2 linked regions of the Canis lupus familiaris genome follow. The protein of the gene in region 1 interacts with the protein of each later gene in a biochemical or structural test. Links are inferred from orthologs where the notes say so. Each region holds a gene or a part of one and is shown in the gene's direction. Other genes may lie near its edges.

The links.
Region 2: the proteins of CHM (region 1) and RAB7A are reported together in a solved structure, tested with the Homo sapiens proteins (2 studies listed by BioGRID, with this or other methods). The link is inferred for Canis lupus familiaris from reciprocal best matches to the Homo sapiens genes CHM and RAB7A.

The regions. Positions count from the first base shown.
Region 1 is NC_049260.1:67,086,421-67,090,432, reverse strand, and holds the start of CHM (rab proteins geranylgeranyltransferase component A 1), read left to right. Parts: upstream 1-1,212; 5' UTR 1,213-1,272; coding exon 1,273-1,321; intron 1,322-4,012. UniProt on the Homo sapiens protein: Substrate-binding subunit of the Rab geranylgeranyltransferase (GGTase) complex.
Region 2 is NC_049241.1:2,796,813-2,800,312, forward strand, and holds part of RAB7A (ras-related protein Rab-7a), read left to right. Parts: intron 1-366; coding exon 367-585; intron 586-2,272; coding exon 2,273-2,401; intron 2,402-3,500.

The DNA.
Region 1 (4,012 bases):
CCATAAATGCAAATAATTTCAGTGCAGTATGGGAGGCTATGATAGGGTGTTAGCACTACATAGGGAAATTTAATCCAACATACGGAGGAGATAAAAGGAGGAGGTGGTAGAAGTTGAGCTGAATATTAAGGATATGTTAGCTAGAGAAAGGGAAAATCATTCCATGCTGAAGGAAAAACTGTGACTGAGAAACCACAAACAGTTCAGAGGACTGTTGGTGTAAGGGAAGGTCTACTACTAGCACTTTCTCTTTGAAACTCTTGTAAAATGACTACACAATGACCCCTAAAGCCCCCCTGTCAAACACAATTACTTTAATATAAAGGTCATTTTACCTTGATTACTTCTGCAGCAGTTTATCATAAGAATCTTGTATGGGGGCAGCTCCGTGGCTCAGCGGTATAGCGCCGCCTTTGGCCCAGGGCGTGATCCTGGAGACCTGGGATTGAGTCCCAAGTTCGGCTCCCTGCGTGGAGCCTGCTTCTCCCTCTGCCTCTGTCTCTGCCTCTCTATCTGTGTCTCTTATGAATAAAAAAAAAATCTTGTATGGACTCCTTGTATACGTATAAAAAACCAAACTCAGAACCATTTAAATGCTTATCAAGCAACTATTATGTTTCATATCTTTTTTTCCGTCCTGTAGAGAAAGGCTAATTTTGTAAAAATATACTGCCGGGTGGCTGCTTGGACTAACTAGAACAAATACAGATGCAATTTAGGTTTCATTGTGACAAAACTAAGGCAAGAGGTTTTTTGGTGGGTTTTCATTGGGGAGACACGGAGACTAAAAAGATACGGGATAGTTTGAAAGGGCTGGTGTGAAAAATTATGTTTCAAGGGGACAAAACGAAAGTACACACACACGGGGGAGTAAACAAGTTTCCAGGCCGCAATGAAAATTTCCTTTGTTCACAGAGCAATCCTCTTTCAATTTCAGTCCGGCCTTCATATAAACCAACAATTCTTGCTTCATGGGGGGGAAAAAAAACCCCAGGTTTTCCCATTCATCCTATCTAGCGGAGTAAAAATCTCCATCTCATTACTACCCCAAACCTCCAGGCTAAATGCGCTACTACACTCAGCCTAGAAAATAAATTGCGTCTTTAACATTCACGTAACATTTCAAGTAAAATGTAGCCGCCTACCTGGATCGGCCACCCACGAACTACAATATCCAGAATGCATTGTTTTTCCTTCCGTCTTTTACAAGGGCAATGCCTTACTAGATCTTATTTCCACAAGCAGTAGTCACATGACACGTTTCCTTTCAAGATGGCGGATAATCTCCCTTCGGAGTTTGATGTGATCGTAATAGGGACGGGTATGTGTGGCTCTGGTACTCCCCTAACGAAGTGTAGGAAATCTGTCTCCTTCCTACCTTCTCTGCCATGGCGAGGCTTGGGGAGAAATACTAGGGGTTGAGGAAGGGAGGGAGGATGGGAAGGAAGTGAGGTAGTGTTGAGTCAGCGCGGGACTTCGAAGCTCCAGGGAGGGGCTGGACCCACCGTATTTAGCGCCATTTGAGTAGGGGTCGATCTGGTCGATGCAGATGCTGAGGTTGGTTGCTGCGGGTGATTCTGTAATTTCGTTAGAGGGGGGTGGGTTTGTGGTGTCATGAGAATGGAAGGTCGGGATTTTACCAATGGAGACGCCTTTGGCGCGACATGATTCCCTCCTCGTTGATTTCAGGGTGATATTCCCCATTATTTTGTCTCGCCCTTTCTTAGGAAGTTTTCATGTATTTATGTAGTCCTGGGGTGTAGTGCAGCTCGGATACGACTTAGTCCTTAGTTTTTCGGGAAAGATGCCCAGTTATCGCCCGTGTGCTTATTAATATACTAGGACGAGGACACGGATTCTTTTCTATTGTGTTGAAAAGCCTAGGGAATTGTATTTTGTTGAGGTAGCCATTCCTGCTTTATGATGCTGAAAGACAGCATTTTGCTTTCTGTCACCCACCTATCTACTCACAACTAAATGAGCTGAGAAGAAGCTTCTGTGAATTCCATTACAGGTGTGTGACCTTATCTTCCCCTTGTTTTCCCATTTATTCTCCATGTTTTGGGCGGAGCCAGAAAAATACCCTGCAATTTCTAGTTGACAAATTCAACGTACAACAGGTGGAGAAGACATTTGGCAGCAGTTGGTATTTTGTTTTCTTAATATTGTAAAGGGTGGATTTTAGATGGGATGAAGTAGGTTGTTGAGTGGGGTTTTCTCCTGTTTGCATAATGTGGTAGGTCAGAGAAGCTCTGGTGAATGAGAACCTGTCCATTGTATTAATGAACACGTTTTCTTTCAAACAGTAGGGGCAGCCATGTTTCCAGGGCAGAAGTAAAAATGATAGCTACCTAGTTTTGAATGCTAATTATTTGCTAATTGATGTGCTAAGCATTTTACAAGCTGTATGTAATCCTCACAGCAGCCTGGTTAGAGTAGGTATTTGGTACACTTTACAGAAGAGAAAAGGGGAGCTTAGAATAGTTGCTGTGTGCTCAAGATCACACAGCTAGTAAGTTTCCAAAGGCCCATTCCATCTCAGAAGGAGAATCAGTGGTTCATACCTTCAGAGTTAACCCATATTAATAGAAATAACTGAGAAAAATTGTTTGGAGACCTTGCTTGGCCTTTAAATAGCTGTTTGAATTGCTAGGCACTTAATCTCTCTGAGCCTCAGTCTTGTTTTTAAATACAGGCAGGGTAAACTAGATAGCCTTTCAGGTATTGTCTAACCAAAAATCCTCTCATTCTAATTGCACCTGGATAATTGGTCTCAGGATAGTGAGGACATGTTTATTCTTATTCTGTCTGAAAACTGCATGGCTGCAGATAACTTGGCTGTAGCTGCTGTAAACAGATGTTGAATGAGAGCAGGAAAGAGTCAATAGAGTGATGATTCATTTGTTCTCTCTAGTCTATCCTAAAACCGAGAACAACATCCATTTTTGAATAGTTGTTATACCATACTTCAATTCTATATTATTGCCTTTCTTTTTTGTTACCTAGGAACTTGGGGTGTTTTAAAAATTTTTTGAGTCATTATAAGATTTTTTTCTTATCTGGGTTCAAATTTTAATTGATAAGAGTGTTAATTCCTATTATTAAATGCTGTTAATTCTTAAATACTTTGCTTTCTGGTTCAGTTCATAATATGGACTATATTCATCCTTTGAGTCTGTTATGGTAGAGGTAGGAAGATACTGTGAGTGATACAGAAAATTGCATTAGGTGGCATCTGGTGTGTTTAGAAAAAGACTCATTTTACACTTTCCAGTGAGAGTAATATTATTTCTCAAAGTATGGGAAGAACTTATTCGAAGTTAATCTTAAAAGTTACTTTTTTTCATCTCACTTAATGGTGAACATACTCAAGTTTATCAAGCACATTGCATAAATTTATGTTGTGAAGCATTGTATCTAGGTATATCAAAATGGAAAAATTGGATAAAAGTCATTTCCTAAATGGTTCCAATTATTGTTTAATTTGAATTATTGTTAATGTATTTGGAATACTTTTCTTCTGAAATAGTTTGCTGATAATAGCCTTAAAAATGTTTGCATTAGGGGCACCTGGGTGGCTCAGTCGGTTAAGCATCTAACTCTTGATCTCAGGGTCATGAGTTCAAGCCCCATGTTAGGCCCCACACTGGGTATGGAGACACATATATATATGTGTGTGTGTGTATATATATGTTTTCTTTTTTATGATTTTATTTATTCATTAAAGGCACAGAGAGAGGAGTAGAGACCTAGACAGAAGGAGAAAGGGAGAAGCAGGCTCCCCATGGGAAGCCTGATGTGGGACTCTATCCCAGGACCCTGGGATCACACGCTGAGCTGAAGGCAGATGCTGAACCACTGAGCCACCCAGACATCCCTGTTTTCATTACTAAATACTAGCTTGAGTTAATCTTAGGAAAAGCCAGCATTTCTTAGATTCAATTTTACTGACAAAAGTAGAATTAATCATGCATGTATCACAAACATGAAGAAATAGGCTATGAAATGTAAT
Region 2 (3,500 bases), on another chromosome or scaffold:
TGTATATTTCAGTGAGTGATCACCTCCCTGTATTTCCATCACTCCCAGAAAGTTCCTAGAGTACTAGATCTTAAGTTTTCATCCTGAACGTTACATAAATATCTATTCGTGTGACCACCACCCATGTCAAGATAAAAAGGTTTTGTAACAGAGTTCAGACTCAGTGTTAGCCCTTGCAGAACATGTACTCACACATGCTCTCTCTCCCGGGCTGTTTGGGATACTCTGGTGCTGTACTCTGCTTCCTGAATTCTGAAATCTGACTTTGCTTATCTCGGAGTGGCTGCATGATGCAGCTCGTTTCCTCTGATGCCCCTCACTCCTAGTGCTGTGCCCCTGAAGGGATAATGTTTTTGTCTCTCGCAGATCTGGGACACAGCAGGCCAGGAACGGTTCCAGTCCCTTGGTGTGGCCTTCTACAGAGGTGCAGACTGCTGCGTTCTGGTATTTGACGTTACTGCCCCCAACACATTCAAAACCCTCGATAGCTGGAGAGATGAGTTTCTCATCCAGGCCAGTCCCCGGGATCCTGAAAACTTCCCTTTCGTTGTGTTGGGAAACAAGATTGACCTCGAAAACAGACAAGTAAGTGCTAAAGATAGTGGGAATCCTAAATGTGGAGGCTCATGAATCTACCCTCATTAGGGTCTTCTTTTAAAAGTGGCAGCTAAGTTTCAGATGACAGGTACTGTTTTTAGTTTTGATTGGTAAAAACCCATGTGGCTTAAGGAGACCAGCATCCAGTATCTGTGTGTGTGTGTGTGTGTGTGTGTGTGTGTGTGTGTGTGTGTGAGAGAGAGAGAGAGAGAGAGAGAGAGAGAGAAGACCCCACCATGGGGGGAGAGAAGGAGGGATGACTTAACTAGTTTCCTGCCCAGCCTTGGAATCAGGCCTTGCTTCCTAATCTACTAAAGGCATACTGTTTTTGCTGAGGGAAAACAGAGACCATGAAAGTCTGCAAGGGTACAAAGTAGCAAATCCATTTTGTGGAGTTGCCCATACTAGCCATTGTTTTGGTCCTGCTGAAATAATTTGACTTGAGGCTGGTTGCAATCTGCATTTTGGTCTTTTGGATTTAAAGGCAAACTTGCATTTAAAACCTGGCTCAAAAAAAAAAAAAAAAACCAAAAACAAAAAACCTGGCTCATGCACTTTTAATCTGGGAATATTTCTTGGAGTCTCAGTCTTGACTTACATGACAAGAATACTCAATGACAAGAATACAAATGACAAGAATCAGATGACTATACCCAAGAGCCCTGGCACCTAGGAGCAGCTTGGGAAATGGTGACTTTCTAGTTGACCGTTGCTGTTTTCCTCCCCTCTGAGGGACACTGACTTCTGAGTGACTTGTGGTTTCGTGGGTTCTGTGTGAAGTCCAGAAGGGCTCTAGAAAGGTACCTGTGGGAATATGAACTACCTTCCGGCCAGCTGCCTTTGAGGGCAGGGGCCCAGAAGATCTGGTTTAAATCCCTATGCTTTCTCTGCCTGGCTATGACTTTGGGCCATTGCCTTTGCCCTCTGAGCCTCAGTTCTCCTTCTGCATTTGAAGGAATTAGATTTTGTCATTCTTGAGTGCTCTCCTGCCCCTCAGGGGCCTGCCTGGATCTCCATGTGTGCAGAAGATTGCACTCTGGGCTCTGAGCAAAATTGCTCTGGTTTACTTTGAAATAACATTTTTCTTGGGAGCATAGACTCTTAATTATAGCTTGGTTTATTTCTGGCCATTGATCTCTTTTTCTGCCTTTCCTAGGTGATGGTCTTCTCGTGCCTGAAAATGAACTAGGGGTAGGGGAAGGAATTAGGGTAGGAGAGGTAGGGGGACAGTGAGAGCTGCAGAATTCTTTGGCAAGAGGGTGTGGTACAGGTGGTGTAATACTAGCAGTAATGAGGAAGATCTACTGCAAACCTTAAGACCAAGCTGCCGGGCATTTCCTGGGTTGGGACCTCTGAGGTCCCAAGAGAAACGATTCACTACTTCTCAGGCTGCTTATTCCTTTCACCGTTGTCTGTAAGTGTAGCTAGGGGTCAGAAACTATGGATTGTAGAGTGGGCTTGGGTTTGAGGCCCAGCTGTATCACACAGAGCTAGCAACATGACCATGGACAGGTCTGCAGCTCCCTTCCTCCAATCCTGCACACCCTCATCCCAAGTTTGCTCCCTCCCCTGTGCTACCTGTATAGCCTCGGTACTGTGACCTTTCCTAGAGAAGGTACAGTCCATGCTCTCTGCTTCTGTTAAGAGCATACGTACATCTTGCTTCCTCTTCCAGGTGGCCACAAAGCGGGCACAGGCCTGGTGCTACAGCAAAAACAACATTCCCTACTTCGAGACCAGTGCCAAGGAGGCCATCAATGTGGAGCAGGCGTTCCAGACGATTGCAAGGAATGCACTTAAACAGGTGGGTCTCTGGCAGCTGTCTGGCTCCCTCTGGTGACTGACCATCAACCCAGCCCCATGCCTGGCTTTCCTGTCCTTAATCTTTCTTAGTGCTTTTTCCTGTGTAGCCAGAAGAACCCGTGTTGTTTATCTGGGAAGGTAATGAGACGTTCTGCTAAAGCTTCTATAGAAACCCTACTTGTTTGTGAATAATCTATCCAATGCAGAGGCAACAAAGGCAGGCTGAAGCCACCATTATTTGGGTATGTTCTTTATTCTTCAGGAGGCCCTTGGTCTGGTGGTTCCTTCTACCAAAGGAGGGGATAAACTTGAATTCAAATCCCAGGTCTGCTACCCATCATTACGTATGTTTTTTTGTTTTTGTTTTTTGTTTTTTTGTTCTGTTTTGTTTTGTTTTAATCATCTCTGCTTCCATCCCCTCATCTGTCAAATATGAATACTGGCTTTGCAGAGTGGTTGTGAAGATGGAATGAGATGGGCTCACTCTTGGTGTTCTCATAACTGGTTCTGTTTGATCACCAGAAGGAAAGCTTAACCAGAAGTTCTAGGAATTGCATTCCTTGAGTGAGATTTTCTTTCTTATTTATGTTGTTTACTCAGCTGTTCCCACAAGAGACCGTTACCTCTTGTTGGCATGAGGGAGTTGAAAGCTCTCTTGATTCAACAGCTCTTTTGGGGCCAGTGCATTAGGGCAGATCATGAGGCACCATCAGTCATCTGTGGTGGTCAGACTTGGGGAGTGGGTGAGGGTCAGAGGTGAGGTGCACGCCAGAAGGCGCGGCAAACAGGTAGGAAGCATGTGTTAGCTGTAAAGGGCACAACAGGTTTTGCCAGATCTAGGAAACTGGGATTATAGAAAGCAGCAGTTCTTAGCAGAACAGGGCATCTGAACCTGTGGGAAAGGAAGTAACTGGATTGGGTTGTTCCAAGAGCTGGAGGCTGCACCGCGTGTCCCCTGATGAAAGGAATCAAGCCTCCCGAAATGCTGGGAGCCCCCACTGAGCAACACTGATAGCAGGATGCAGGTCTGAGGCCTTTGCTTCCCCCGTCCCCCTTCTTTTAACCCACCTTCACACTTAGGTCAGTAACCCAATGTGCTT